Lepisosteus oculatus: one gene and its partner. The main gene of each other region encodes a partner of the protein of the gene in region 2 in a complex. Links are inferred from orthologs where the notes say so. Each region holds a gene or a part of one and is shown on either strand. Other genes may lie near its edges.

Region 1 (7,965 bases), on a different chromosome or scaffold from region 2:
GTCTCACTGCAGAGACAAACATTGTCTCCATTATTTTTAATGGTACACACTTAAAGCAAAAGACAATGTTTTTAAACTACATCTATTTTCACCTGTCTCAGCAGAAAATCTAAAAAACAAATCAACTGAATGAGGTTTTCTTTATTTGTTAAACATATTTTACCAAAGGAATGAATACGTTCTGCTCAGTGTCTTGTTCTTCTTGTTCTAGCATCAAGTAAAAACTACTGAATATAAACATTTCCATTAAAGTTGTACAAATGCAGATTTTCGGATTGTTCCGATTCCTCTTGTTGGCAATTCAGAGATACCTAAGTGTACAAACCATGACACCCTGGCTGCTCTAGAGGCTGCCTACTGACCTGTAAAAGACTTGGATGGGGTGTTGAGAAGGTTTTTCTCAAAAATAATAAAAACATAATCAGAAAAATAACAGTTTACACAACAAACTTGTAAAAACTAAGTTGTCAGGAGAAGTACATTGTCCTGATTTCTGCCTCTCTGACAAGGAACACCAGTTTTAGCTGCCTCCTTTTATAAAAATGTCAGAGAATGTGGCTTTGTCTGAACAACTGAAGATTTGCCTCGTCGCTCTCCTGTCTCATTCAATACTGGAAGCTTCTCTTGGTCTGAATGTCGTCCAGTATCTGCTGCAGTTCCTCCTCTTCAAATCGGCCCTCCAGACTGCCATTGTGGAGAAACAGAGGAAGAGACGGTAAGAAATCTCTACTCATATTAGAGCTACAGAATAAATCTTCGTGTCTGCTTATCCCACTAGTGTTTTATCCAACCCAGTGCAATGTCTAAAAATCAAACCATAACTAGCCATTTTTAGGAAAGTAGACCCACTCCATAGCAGAGCCTGTTATGTCATCTTCTAGTACTGTTTCCTCAAATCCAATGCCTCTATCTCTACTGAACAATGAACTTTAGGTATTAGTGTTCAATTATGAAGCCAGCAGGTCTTAAGGTCACCCTTAACCAAGTTTATTTAATTTTTGTGGAACAAAAATACATTTTTTACATGAGCCTACTAAAGCACGAGCTCCCTAACTGTGCATATGACCACAATAGTTTCTAAGTCTTTGGAAACTGATTATTTGAATGTCACTCTCAATGAAATACTGGATTATGACTCTCCAAAAACTGGGATCTGTCTAAAGAGAGCAAGAGAGTGCTTAAAACGAACAGCTGTTCTTCCATAATGTATTTCTTTCCCAATAATCCCAATGTAATACTTATGCTGGGTTGTAAAGGAGTCGATTCTATTGCTGTCTTCACAGACTGTGCCTTAGAACCTCTACCGAGCATCGACCTCCAAGAGCCGGGTGTTCAGACAACGGGTCTTGGGAGGAGAAATACGGGGCGGCGCGGCCAGCAGACTCAAACGTGCGACGAGAAGCGGCCGTGGCAGAACACCGACCTTGGAATAAGGGCCTTGGCTTCTTCCGCTGCTTCGGGGCACAGGTTGGCCAGGCTGGCCAGCTCGAACTTGTGGAGCTTCTTCTGCAACAGCAGGCTGCAGCGAGGGAGGAAACAGGACACGATCAGACCACAGCAGCACGTGCACGTGAAGACGGCCCACTGCTAACCCGAGCACTTCCTGGTTCCTCTCCAGAACAGACATGCTTTAGTGTTGTGCATTTGATAAATAAACTTTGATTTGATTCCAATTTGAAAGGCAAAAACGTGACTCTCTAGGGCGGAAAGCCGATCCAGCCAGGGGTGGCCGCGGCCTGACCTGCGCACGCTGGCGATAGTCTCCCTGTTCTTGAAGCGGCTGAAGCGGGCCGTGTAGTTGAGCGTCTTCATGAAGACCTCGGACAGCTCCTGCTCGTCCTCCGCGCTCTCGTTCTGCTGCTTGCGGTGCTCCAGCAGCATGTGCACCTCCGAGTTCAGCAGCGTCTCGGCGTTCTCGAACTCTGCGGGGGGGGAGAGGAGGTGGGCGTGCGTTAGGGACACCAGCAGCAACACTTAAAAAGACGCCGGGTGCGGAGCGGCCCGATCCGTTTCGGGTTTTATCTGGCCCACACTCATATTCCTATATCTGACTGCACAGTAAACACACATGCTGGCAAAAGGAGCCAGGGTCTCTTCTGGGTTTCTTTCCAGCTGAGCTCTGAATCACTAATTGGATAATTTTCCTGATCTCACCTCAGGGACAATTTAACGGCTTATAAAACTCGCAGGACTGTGGCTTTCCAAGACAAGGGTTACAGACCCTTACTGCAGGCCAACTTGTTTTTAGTAAATACTATTTTTTTTTGTCAGTAAGCCTAACTCCGCTTGATCGCTTTTCACTTCTGGTCAGCAAGAATTGCAGCCCTCAGGGGCCAGAATCCATTAGATTTCTTAGTGCTCTTCGTATCCTTAATGTCTTAAATAGGTCTAATTAAGCTTAGTATGATTAGTTCAAGTTTGGTCACTATGCGGAGGCGGAGGACAGCAGCTGTATGCGCACCACCGCTACAGAAGACCGTGTTATTTTATAGTATTCTCTATACCAGCATCAGTGAGGCCATTAAAACTGTTCAGGTCAGAAGATCCAATTTAATATTCTGCGCGGACTATCCCTAACCCTAAAAAATGTTAAGCATAAAAAGTTTTTTTAACTTTAAGACCCATTTCGTGCTTTTCATTTCCCCAGCAGTTCGGTGTTTACACCTCCAAAGAGCACACGAATCCCCGTGGCGGCGGCTGGTACCTTTAGGGAAGAGCAGTTGCGAGGCGTCCTCCTCCACATCTCCGACCTGCGGGGGTCCAGTGCCTCCTCCTGCCGCCATCGTCCGAATCAAGACCCGGGGCAGCCTGAGTAGGCCCCAGCGACCACTTACAAACGGGTATCTGTAAACCAGAAATTATCTAAACAAATTGGCAGCGAAATTCAGAAAGGTTGCGTACGGAGATATGCTCAGAATGCAGACAACTGTAGCGCTGTAATTATCCCGGTACACTCAACAGCACGCATCGCCATGCCTGTCATGAACACCTAAACACAAAACAAAAGTATGATGGGTGAACTCATTGGGGCTTCACAAGACAGCGCCCCTGTCGGTTGGAGGTCTCACCAAGAGGCGGCATGGGCTGCAAAAGGTAATATTCCAATTCAAAGAGCTTTATTGGCATATCCGATGAATTACGGTGTTGCCAAGGCAGATGCAATTAATGCAACGCTACATACATTTATATAATACAGACATCACATAAAACATTAATGTGAGACAGTATCACCCTGTTTTGTTGTTATTGCTGCACGTTTTTGCGGGGAGGGGGTATTCTGTTGCTCATGACTCTCTTGTTGTGAACTGTAATTTTTAATCTATTCTTCGCCCCCTGGATAGTACAAGAAGTATGTGTTTTTTTATCGTCCATTGGCTGAATGTAAATCAGCGGTCAGTCTTTTTTTTAAATTCAAATTTGAAAAGAGCTTTATTGGCTTGACCGATGACTTACAATGCTGCCAAAGCACAGAAATAATTACCCAACATTTACAGTACTCACATAAATGTCCAATAATAACATATTTCATACATTACTAGAATTTAAAAACGAGGGGGAAAATATTACTGCGTTGGCCGGGAATCGAACCCGGGTCAACTGCTTGGAAGGCAGCTATGCTCACCACTATACCACCAACGCTTGTTATCAGATGGTGGTAACTATAGGTTAAAACAGTGCTGGCGCGGCCTTGGCGCTGTATGTCCAGGCCTACAGCGACACCCAGCTGCAACGCTCTCGGAAGCGATACTGGGCCCGAGCGGAGGGAAACCGTTTCGCTTTGATCGGAGCAAAAATACTGAAACCCTCGTCATATGCGGATCCGGATCTCGCTGTGATTTTGAGTTTTCCTTGGTGAATTGTGGTTTGGGTTCTCACTAGGTGACACGAGAGTTTCTTTTCTGAAAAGGGGCAGAGGAGCGTTTCAGCTTTCCCAAAGCCTCAGGGGCTCAAGAAAAATAGCAGCCGCTTTTGTGTTGAGGGACCGAGCCCATAGCTCGTCTGTAAGACGGGATGGATTTGTTTGGAGACCTTCCCGAACCCACACAAACTACAGGTAAAGGATATCTGTCATTTGTATTTTATTTTTAAAACATACTTTGTATTTTAGGCTGTGTAGGAGACAGGGCACTTTGGTAGTAACTGGATTTATATAAGTAAAACTAATAAGCTTTTAAAATTCATAGTACCACCCTTTTCGTCGTTGATGAAAGTATTTTGATATGGAAAGAGTTGAAGATAATTCAAAATGCTGTTTTCACTACTAAAACCGCTCTAAAGGACGACAGGCCTGAAAGTGAAACTCGTGAGCGCAAATCCCCGACCTGGCGTGAAGGCTGTAACCGTAGATCTGAGCATGTTCCTCGGCTAAAGAAACCAGTGATCTGCAGTATGTGAATTTGACGAAGATAAACTTTATTTTATGACTTATGCGAGGTTTGACACTTCATGACTATAGTATATGTAGTTTTTATGGTTTAAGAAGTAAAGAATGAAATAGTGTATGCAACGTTGTGATTTGGTAGCAAAAGCACATCGACCGAATTCCCTGTCAAGACTGATTCTTTGTGTTAGATCGTTTACTTTGTACTTTATAAAGGGGATTAGGTAATTGTGAATTTGGTATTTAAAAACGGTACAACGGACGCCGAAACATTCAGCACATTCAGCTGCATTTTCACGGATAAAGAGCATTTGGACTGCCTAACGTCGATTTAAACGATTGGACTAGGAGAATTAATTGGAAGTGGTGAAACCAGTACATGTATTACTAGAAAAACATGTATCTTTATGTAGTTTTAAAGGCCATTGTTTGAAAGCAGTTGAGCTCAGTGATGGGAAATTCTGCAGACAAACTGTGGTATAAGGTCATAGATGTGTGGAAATATACATAATAGTCTGCACAATTACAATATATATAAATATGATGCCTGGTACATGATCAGAATCCCTGATTTGTTGGGTCCCTTCAATAAAAATCCCTCCTTTTTATTCTTTTAGCAGCAGACACAGGTTCTTCCAAAGACTCCAAGACTGAGGAAAAGCCCAAGACAGAGAAGAGGAAACTAGACACTGAAAGCAACGGCACAGAGCAACAGCTGGAGGAAAAGAAAGTTTGTAAAGGTTTTCAGCCATGTCCACACCCCTGTTCCTCACCTGGGGCTGGGGGGTGGGGGGTCTGGTGCTCTGGCTGCCTTCCTTGATTGCACACAGCATAGTCTTCGTTATAGACGTTAGCAGCAAAGTGTTGATGGCCAGCCACTTCTACTGTACCTTCCCTCCACAAAACAAGTTCTGGTGTTCTTGGAATATAGTGCATTAACCTTTCTTCCACGGATCGGAGGTACAGAACTTTAATAGCACACAATAATTTCGATTTTCCTAACACAGAATGTAGTTTTATTATGATGTTTTCATCCGTCTTTTCATAGAAGGATGACACTTTAGCACAGTGGTTAGCATGCAGCTTCACAGCTCTGGGGCCCTGGGTTCAGTTACTGGGGTGCTATCTGCGTGGAGTTTGTATGTTCTCTCCAGTTTCTGGTTTCCTCCCACGGTCCAAAGACATGCTAGTAGGTTAATTGTCTCCTGGGAAAGTCGGCACTGGTGTGAGTGTGTGTGCGTCTGTGTCTGAGTGTGCCCTGCGATGGACTGGTGTCCTGTCCAGGGCGTAACCTACTGTCCGCCTGCTTCTTGCCTTCTTTAAAACTCTAAACCTTTTTTTAAGACATACTCTTAGAACCAAGTAATAACAGTCAGGGATTGATAGGGATATAGATTGAACACTAGGACGATGTGTTTTGGAATGTCCCTGCTTGTTGTTTACTCTGATTAATTTCCACCTTTGAATTAATGATATCTAGTAAAGCATTTTAAAATATGAATGGAGAGATTATAAGAAAAAAGCTATTAGATCCACAGTGATAAACTATTTTTTTAGCATAGTTTAACAGAATACGATATAGGATAGAGTGATGTATATCTGTTCTAAAGCTTGTGACAGCAAAGACTTTGGTGCAAATATCAGCTCCCAGGATCAATACAACCCAAAGCTACTGTGGGCTGGAGGGTTTAGACAGACAAGATGAGCAGACAGTGCAAAAGAGTGAAGTGCAAACAACAAACAACAAGCTCGTACCATTGAGTTGTGAAGAAGGGGTAATGTTATGGGGAGTGTGGATGTAAATCTGTGATCTGTCTTTTTTTACAGTGGCCACAAGGGGATTTAGGATAACAGCAGGAGTTTGACAGCCAGCGTGCCTTTGTGTGTGTGCTGTCTGTTCCAGGAATCCCCAGACTGAAGGGCTATGTGGCGGCACGGAAGGGAGAGAGGGAGGAGATGCAGGACGCCCACGTTATTCTGCCCGACTTTTCGTCTCGGGTGTCTTCGCTGCCGTCCCAAATGTGAGTGACCTTCCCAGCAGCTCACTTGATCCCACTGCCACACGGCTGACTTTAGGACATCTCGCAGACTTTGGATGCTTTGAATCATGAAAGGTTTTCAGGAGTATTTTGGGCTGAAAACTTCATTTTACTTCAGGAGTTCAGGCACATCGGTCCCTCCTCTTAATGGCTTCATCCAATTCAGGGTAGTGGGGGAGCTGGAGCCTATCCTGGCAAGGAACGGGCACATAAGGCAGGGTACACCCTGGACAGATCACCAGTTCATCACAGGGCACACACATACACACACCAGGGACAGTTTTTCCAGTAGCCAGTTAACTTACCAGAATGTTTTTGGACTTTGGGAGGAAGCCGGAGGAAACCCATACAAGCACGAGAAGAACACACAAACTCCACAGAGGTAGCACGTTGGTTCTGGGATTGACCCCAGGATTCCAGCGCTGCCACTGTTCCACCATATCACCCTAAGCTCAGACACATCAAAAATCGAAACAAGGCAAAGGGCAAAACCTTGCCTTTGGTTTTGCTCTAAATGTGCATCACATGGGGAAAAAAGGAGCTGCCAGGTTAGCATAGTGCCCAGGGAGTGCTAAATCTCAATTCATTGGGATGTTTTTGGCGAATCTTTTTTTGAGGTTTTCTTCCGTTTATCCTAGATCACACTTGGCATACTTTGCAGTCTTCGATGGGCATGGTGGAAGCCGGGCATCTAGGTACGCTGCCCAAAATCTCCATCTCAACCTAGCCCTCAAGTTCCCCAAAGGTATGCAGCCCTCTTTCTTTTAGTCTGTTACTACTCATATTCACTTGCCATTTTACACCAGTTTTTACACCCCAAAGTGAAACTCGGCCTAAGTAAGACCTGCAGGACTTCAGAGAGAATGACAGGGTGGGACTCGTATTGCAACGGCAAAATATTAGAGAATAGTGTTGGGGTTTCCCAAAGTTGTATACAGCCCAAACAAATGTTTGAACACTTGACAAAATGCACACAAGAGTAATACACTGCAGGATCAGCTGGCAGCTGTGATGTATGTACTTGCATAGTCTCAGGTCTGAAGCAGTGGGACCAGATCTCATGGTCTCGTGCTTTGGAGTAAAAATCTCACACAGTCATGGCCGGCATGTCCTTGGTGAACAAAGCAGTCGACTAGGTTGACAGATTTGAGGAGAAAATAATTAAGCTTCAAAAAATGTAAAGATTTTACAAATCCAAATAAAATAACCAATCTCATTATTTCAATTGATGTGTGTATAGAGAGGGAATATGTATTATAAATTACCAGGAATGTCATGAAATTAATTATAAATATGATAAATATTCTTGCAAAATCATAAGAAATGAATTTTGCACCTTGCTCTTCGTCACTGTGCTCTGCAAGGGCACACCATTACTGCTCTTTGCAGTGTTATTGCCACTCATGAGATATGTGAGTTAGAATCTTTGACATTTCTAAACCCAATGTTTAAATGTCAGTATCTCTAAGTGTTGTTAGACTTTTGCTTTATCGGGCTGTAAAATTATGACCCTTTTCTTATAACCGGTTTAGATGCGAGAAATCA
Region 2 (7,855 bases):
TCCATCCCGGCGTTCGGCCGCCTGGTGGCGTCCTCCGGCTCCTTCTCCGAGGCGTCCTCCGAGGACTCGGTGCTGGGGGTCGGCCCGCCCCTGGACGCCAGGCGGGGGCTCAGCCTCGACTCGGACGCGGGCCTGAGCAACGAGGACCTGCAGAGCGAGCGCAGCGAGTCCCCCGGGGTCCCCAACTCCGAGTCCCTGCTGGGGCTGGACCTGGACTTGGGGCCGTCCATCCTGGAGGACGTGCTGAGGATCATGGACCAGTACAAGGCGCAGGACGGGGACTACGAGCTGTGACACCTCACCCTGGCTGCCGATTCCTTTGTCATGGACTTGATGATGAGCTACCTGCGTTACCAATAGTGTAGAAAAAACCTGAAATGCCACCGTAACCCCAGAGGTTTGAGAGGAGCAGGACACAACTAGTGACACAGATTTGATATAACTGAGGGGGGCTTCGAGGCAGATGAGGACACAATTTAAATATGCTGCCATATTCTTGTGCTCGCCAATACACGTCTGCTCCGCAGCTCTGAGAAAACCTCATGGTGGCTTTTTAACGGAACCCAGCCCCACTGTGACGCTCGGATATACTCCTCAATGTTACAAAAACAACTCCTGTGGTGTCAGCCAGCCCTGTGCGTCCGCACTCGCAAAAGCACAAGTGACACCGCGCTGCTGCTCCGTTCTGTGCTGGTGGTGCACCGCGCACACCTGATCACACCACACCACCTTCCGAGCTCCCTGCTTCTCGGCTTCAGCCAGTGAGAGGACGTGGGGCAGGCAGCACATTGAGCCCTGAGAAAGACTCTGCCCTGCTTCAGGTGCTGCCCCTGCTCACGAAATGCAACCTTACTTGTTTCTCCACAGCCAGGGGCTTGAGCGATGAAGGACAGAGAGACACAGAGACTGCGCCTGTGTGGATGAAATTACTGAAAAGACGGAAGGTGGTGGAATCAGGTGATCTTAAACACTTGTCATCTGCTAGGAATCTAAAAGAGATCCTTAAGGCGTGAGCAAGAAGTTCTCAAATGATATTTTCCTTTTCTACAAAACTAACAAAGACGTGAAATGAAAACTGAGCAATGCTACTGAGCTGTATCTAGACCGAAACTTGGAATTATTTTGTGAGTTTATTTTCATGCACATTGGTTTATTCGAATTTCCACCTTCCTTTTCTTTCAGCCTGAAAATGGCAGCAGTCTTTTTACATGAAATACAACCGATTTACTGATGTGAGAATCACGTGTACAAAAAACACCATCTCGTGGGCCTGTGTTTAAAATGTGTGTTAGTCTGTTACTCCTTGACCAGGAAACTGTGACTCCAGAGGCATGGAAAGATGACTCGCACTGCACAGCAGTTTTAATCCATTTCGGGGTGTAAAATCAAATATTGGACACATCCGTTTCAAAGTGTCAATTTATCTGTTGAGTTTCAGACAGATTAAGGTCACAATGAAACATTCTGAGTTTCTCTGTTGTTGGATTGAGTACTACAGCTTTTGCTTTGTAAAACTGGGATGTGGCTCATACTGCGATGCATTGGGAGTCTTTATTCCACCTCTGAAATATATCAAAATGTTCAATCACCTGACCATAACTGGACGATGAATCAACACAGGAAGATGGTGATTATTCTACGCACTCAGAAATCTTGCATGGACATATATACTGAAATCACTATTCAAAATAATTTATAAGGACATTTAGTGCATTTATCTCTTTAGAGGATAAGATGGGAAGTACTGTTTACAAATTCTAAAAGCTGGCATAAATATATATATTTATTTTATTGGAAGACTTTCGATAGTTTTAACAAACCGTTCACCGGTCCAGTTCAACAGTTCAACTGTGGTTGCCGAGCAGTACTACACTTGGCTCGTACGGCCATCTAGTGGAAGGAGAGGGTAGTACACCTGGTAATTGGTCGGTACCAGAAGCGGCCTGGAGAAGCGCAGCTCTCTTGCTTTTCTGAAGGTCACGAAATCGACACATTTAAAACCTGAAACGACCGAATAATCCTAAAAGCTATGCCTTAAAGCGAAGCCGGTTCATTTTCTTCATTTTTTTCTTGGCAGGACTGTGTGTTGAGACTGAGTTTTGCTACTGGGATGTGGTGACAGATGGAAAGAAATGATTTCTGTTGTAATTCTGCATTTTTTTAAATCTCCGTTAATGTTCACAATCTGTTTTGATTTCTGAATGTTTTAAGACGTGTTTCAGGCCCTGCTTGAGTTTAATACATTTTCCATCACTATTCTGGGGATTCTAATAATTGCACAGATCTAAGCACTGGGGGAGAGGTTTGATGTGCTCAGCTCAGTGGGTAATAGCATGATGAAGATGCTGATGATGACGAAGATGAGGTGTGTAAGAGTTCAGCCGGAATGCAGACCAGACGACTGCTTGGAGGAATGTGACTGGATACTGTTGCCTTTCAATGGATTGCTGGGAACTAAAATGAAACTGTCGTCTGGGAAGTAGGTATCTGCTGTGCTGTGGACTGTGCAAGGTAGATGAAGGAGAGGAGAAAGTCCAAATAAATGCGTGGAAAAAAGAAAGAGACAATCAAGGAAAAATGTTTTTTTGAAACGATGATTTTCTGTTCTGGATGGAACATTATTTCGCAGTTTGTGTTACGTTCTGATTGACATGAAGAGGAACACCATGCAAGTGACTGTTGCAGTTATTTATTCTGAAATCTTCAGCTCAAGGCAAGCGGGGCGTCTAAAGTCAGTAACATGTCGCAGCGAACATTTCTCTAGTTTCAGAAGTTGCCCTTCCTCAGCGTGGTGTGACATCTGTCTCTGTAGTACAAAATGACAACCTTTTTTAAAACAAAAAATGTTTCTATATGTATTTAGCCTCGGTATTGAGGTCAATAAATATGAATGTTAAAGCAGACGTCACTCCAAATTTGTATGTTTTTCTTGCTGTTTTTTTTTTTTGGCTTCCACATCTCTTTACCTATGTTCCCTCTTCATCTTTTGAATCAGTGAGATGATCAGATACTGGCTGTGACACAAACCACGTCTCACATTATGAGAAGATACCGCAGCTCTGGTTCAGAAGCACCAACTGTGCAAACACTAGTGAACCATGTGATATCAACAGGAGAAGACTCCTAAGCACCTATGCACCTAACGCCACACCAAGCACAAAAGAGAGCACACACAAACACATCAGGATCTGGTGCAGCTTGGCCTTGTGCATAACCCAGGGTGCAGTACATGCACTTGCCCCCTGTTTTGTCTCCTTATTCAAGCCAGGCCCTCTCGCTATTCCTGGCTCAGCACTGGGAGATGGACACCCAGAAGCCCGCCGTCCAGCGGGTCCAGGAGAGATCGCGGTGTCCTGCCCGTCTGAGTCCGGGGCTGGGAGCGCCTGGCCTCCTTACCTTCTGTACAGCTCCTCCAGCCCTGTTATTGAGCAGATCCACCTCGAGGGTCAAGGCCTGCTCCTACACTCCTCTGGTGCCTGAAATGTGGTTCAGGCTGCCCCTCCCTCCACTCTGCCGTCTCTGTGAAGAACTGGCCCTTTAAACTAAAACAATAGACAGGGTTGATTGCTTTAGGAATGAAACAGACTTCAACTAAAAAAAAATGAACCAAAGAGACGTTTTAGTGTGGCTTGACAGTGACTGGTTTAATAATCTTTTCATATCACTCTGCAACTCACAGCTGGCAGCCCACTGAAGCTCAGCAGGTGTGAGCCTGGTCAGTACCTGGATGGGAGACTCCTGGGAAAAACTAAGGTTGCTGCTGGAAGAGGTGTTAGTGGGGCCAGCAGGGGGCGCTCACCCTGTGGTCTGTGTGGGTCCTAATGTCCCAGTACAGTGACGGGGACACTATACTGTAAAAAGGCGCTGTCCTTCGGATGAGACGTAAAACCGAGGTCCTGACTCTGTGGTCATTAAAAACCCCAGGGCATTACTCGAAAAGAATAGGGGTGTTACCCCGGTGTCCTGGCCAAATTTCCCTCTGGACTTTACCACTCATGGCCTCCTAATAATCCCCATCTCTGAACTGGCTTCATCACTCTCTTCTCCTCCCACTGAGAGCTGGTGTGTGGGGAGAGGACTGGTGCACTATGGCTGCTGTCACATCATCCAGGTGGGGCTGCACACTGGTGGGGGTGGAGGGGATCCCCATTACCTGTAAAGCACTTTGTGTGGAGTGTCCAGAAAAGCACTATTTAAGTGTAAGCAATTATTTTATTTTTTTTCTAAAGAAGAGCTGCAAGCCGTGTTTCAGAAACATGTTGGTGTTAGTAAGCTTTGCAGGGTGTTCCCATACGTTCTCCAAATAAAAAAATGCAGTAATCATTTACACAAAAGTCATATTCCTAATTAAAACCTATAGGCGGATAATTCATAAAGTTTGATTATAAATCTACAAACATCAATAAATTTGTTATTATGATTTTCTAACAAGGTCTATGTTCCTTGTTTTTGTTTTACTTCAAAGTTGATTTGCTCAGTAACTGGATTTTTATAGACGGCTGGAAATTTTTCAGTCCGTGCCAACAGGGAAAGCTAGACTTCTCTGGCCTCGACTATTCAGGTCTAATATTAGCAACAAGACACAACTTTTTATATTGGTATTGATTAGTCAGGTCTAGATTTCGGGGCGCACTAACCAGGGGGCGGGGAAGAAGTGTGATTGACATCGAGATCACCCATTTAGCAACTCCTATTGCGTCTCCTCCAAAGACTAAGTGACCAATCGTGGGCGCGCTAGGAGGGATTACGTCCATCGAGGGGGATAGGTTGGGCAGTGACAGTGGAATCACACGTGAATAAACAGAAAAGCAAGAGCGGAGTTATCAACGTGCTTTTAATTTCTTTAGTATTATCTTTTGTTTATCTCTAGTATTACGATAGGCTTGTCGAGCCTACAACAGCAAGAAGAAAATCGCCCGTCGCCGGACGCAAGCCGTAACAATGAAGTGTGTACTTCTGGAGTCTCTCGCCGCAGCTGAAGGGTCGGGTAACTTGAGAGTCGGGGCGCTAAGTTTTCATCTTCTTGTTTTTGCAGGCTGAATATTGATGGCTTGCTGGTCTACTTCCCCTATGACTATATCTACCCGGAGCAGTACTCCTACATGCTGGAGCTGAAGAGAACCCTCGACGCCAAGGTAAGCTCTCCTTCTGTACCTGCAGCGCGGATGCAAGCGTCGCACCCCGGTCTTTCTCGTCTCTCCGCTGTCTGGTCGCGTCCGGCTGCTTCAGCTTTTGCGTGTTGGGTTGGAGGAGGCGGTGAGGGTGTTGGGAGATCGGCGCTCTGTAATCCCCGCGTCCATCAATCTGGCTCACTCGAACGGTATTTAAAAGTTATTTTCATAAACCGAAACGGACCCGATGGAGTCACAGTCTTTAAAGAAAAAGCAGCAACCGGAATACCTCGCGTCTGTACGTGGAATACACGGCTTCTGTGGGCTTTAGTTAGGATCCGCTGCTCTCTGGCGTGTGAATGTCGAGACTGCCCTTGCAGTGCAGCTGGGATCGGTTTGCTTTGGCGGCCAGGACGGGGGACAGCTGTGTTCATGTTCGTGTTTGACCTCGTGTCTCTGTAGGGCCACGGGGTGCTGGAGATGCCCTCGGGCACCGGCAAGACCATCTCCCTGCTGTCGCTGATCGTCGCCTACCAGCAGGTGAGTGTCTCCCCTCTCCTGGGAGGGCTGTCCTGCTGGGGCCCGATCCCTGGCGGATTGGCTCTTGTGTGCCGCTTGTGTTAACTTTGCTGGTTTGTGGTCGACACGCCTGTGTGTGTGATCCCTCTTCCTGCTCCTCAGACCTATCCCCTGGAGGTCTCCAAGCTGATCTACTGCTCCCGCACTGTGCCTGAGATCGAGAAGGTGAGTCGGAGTGGATTCAGATTTTTTGGAAACGGCCGCCGGGTTTTAAGCTGCGCTTTTCCTCACCCTGTGCCCGGCTCTCCCCCCGTGTCTCAGGTGGTCGAGGAGCTGAGGAAGCTGATGGAGTTCTACGCCAAGGAGACGGGCAGACAGAGCAACTTCCTGGCCTTGGCCCTGTCTTCCCGCAAAAACCTCTGTGTGCACCCTGAGGTCAGGACGCCTGGCCCCTGGCCCCTGCCCCCTGCCGCCTGCCCCCCCTGCCCCCTGCCCGTCCCGCTCCCCTGACTCTCCTCCTCCCTGTCCCGCCCAGGTGAGCTCGCTGCGATTCGGGAAGGAGGTGGATGGGAAGTGCCACAGCCTGACGGCCTCGTACATCCGCGCCCAGCGCCACGGCAACCCCTCCCTGCCTTCCTGCCGCTTCTACGAGGTGAGCGGGCTGGGGGGGGTGCTCAGGCTCAGGTGGGGAGAAGTAGAGAACAGTACTGAGCTGGGGGGGGGGTTATTTTCAACGGGTTTGTTAACAGGAGGAAGTCGAAGATCTCCTGCTCTCACGGGGACGCGGGGCAGAACTACGCGTCTGGGCTACGGCAGCTGGCCTGTCCTGTTCACCCTGCAGGAGTCCAGGGAAGGCGTTTGACGCAGGTGGTGGTTTGTTTTAATGCCTGAAGGCCGCACGCGCCTTGTGGTGGCGACAAATGCCCAAGGAGAGCGAAGCAGCCTCCACAGTTTCTCCACAGTTGGCCACAGAGCCGATTTGTGCAGCAGTTGACAATATCGCAGCAAAGGAACAAGTAAGAGGTTTATTCCATGCTGAAAAAAAGAAGAAGAGAAGAAAGAAAACACAACATTTCGGCCGTGGAGCCTTCTTCAAGTGTGAGCAGCTGACCATGAAGGAAGAGGAAAAGAAAAACTCCAAGTTCTCGGCGTCCATGGCCCAGTGATCGTCCCCGTTCAAGATCTGGGTTTGTGGGACATCAATCATTTAATGTTCCACAAGCCCAGGTTTCCACACACTTAGTGATACACAGAGTTCAGCCATGAGAAAGACAATAACTACTCGCAGCTGCCAGCATTTTGTTATATAGTGCTTTTTTTTTGCATGTAGCGTCTGGATCTGGGCTCTCAGGTGAATAGGAGTGAAAATGATGTAAAATGAGTGCCCAAGCTAAACCTGAAAGTTCAGTACTTATTGCTGCCATGGACTGCTAAAGAATTGCTCAGCCAAATTCTGTGTGGAGATGGTGGTGTACTCTTTAGTTTGATGTTTCATGTCTCAAGGAGAAGACTGAAGGAGGACATTGCACTTGGATGGTGGAGGGCAGGATCCCAGCCTCACAGGGCTGGCTTGGCACTCTCTGGAAGTTCATCCCTGCTGGTGCACGGGGAGATCCGGATCGAAATACGGACAGATATCTGTCCCACTGGGATAGGGATATAGACAGTGTTGGAGGATTCTCCATGCTTGCATTCACCCACTGACCCTAGGAAGCAAAGAGTGCTAGCTGCCAAAGTTCTGAATACCGCTGCATATTGCTGTCGGACAATAACTGTGATTCTGGTAGGGTCAATTCCGGACCTGGAGTGCTATCTGCATGGATTTTGTATGTTCTCCCTGTGTGCGTTTGGGTTTCCTTCAGGCACTCCAGCTTCCTCCCACAGTCCAAAGACATGCTGGATTCATTGGATTCTAGGAACTCTGGCTTTCACCCTTCACCCCCTATTTCCATAAAGTAATGTCCCTGTTCCCAGATCACCCCCATGCTGCTCTCCTGTCCCTGCACTCTGACGGTCCAGGAAGTGACTGAGACTGAAAAGGGGACAGTCGGGTTGAATTAGAACGCAAGAGGGGACTAACTTCCTGCCTCCCTTCTGTGCGTCCTCAGGAGTTTGATGCCCTTGGCCGACAGGTGCCCATTCCCGCGGGCATCTATAACCTGGATGACCTGAAGGCCTTCGGGCGCAGGAAGGGCTGGTGCCCCTACTACCTGGCCCGATACTCG

What was found.
Region 1: ercc2 (region 2) and polr2d share a complex: the UniProt entries of both Homo sapiens proteins name them as parts of the TBP-based Pol II pre-initiation complex. The link is inferred for Lepisosteus oculatus from reciprocal best matches to the Homo sapiens genes ERCC2 and POLR2D.

Annotation. Positions count from the first base shown.
Region 1 is NC_090708.1:19,212,655-19,220,619, reverse strand, and holds polr2d (DNA-directed RNA polymerase II subunit RPB4), read right to left. Parts: upstream 3,018-7,965; 5' UTR 2,784-3,017; coding exon 2,705-2,783; intron 1,923-2,704; coding exon 1,742-1,922; intron 1,520-1,741; coding exon 1,424-1,519; intron 685-1,423; coding exon 606-684; 3' UTR 127-605; downstream 1-126. Other genes in the region: ilkap (integrin-linked kinase-associated serine/threonine phosphatase 2C), read left to right, coding at 4,012-4,054, 4,999-5,121, 6,285-6,402, 7,059-7,165. UniProt on the Homo sapiens protein: Core component of RNA polymerase II (Pol II), a DNA-dependent RNA polymerase which synthesizes mRNA precursors and many functional non-coding RNAs using the four ribonucleoside triphosphates as substrates.
Region 2 is NC_090698.1:5,271,227-5,279,081, reverse strand, and holds the start of ercc2 (general transcription and DNA repair factor IIH helicase subunit XPD), read left to right. Parts: upstream 1-4,738; 5' UTR 4,739-4,941; coding exon 4,942-4,946; intron 4,947-5,035; coding exon 5,036-5,135; intron 5,136-5,573; coding exon 5,574-5,651; intron 5,652-5,792; coding exon 5,793-5,855; intron 5,856-5,951; coding exon 5,952-6,065; intron 6,066-6,165; coding exon 6,166-6,282; intron 6,283-7,738; coding exon 7,739-7,855. Other genes in the region: cdc42 effector protein 2, read left to right, coding at 1-294. UniProt on the Homo sapiens protein: ATP-dependent 5'-3' DNA helicase. Component of the general transcription and DNA repair factor IIH (TFIIH) core complex, not absolutely essential for minimal transcription in vitro.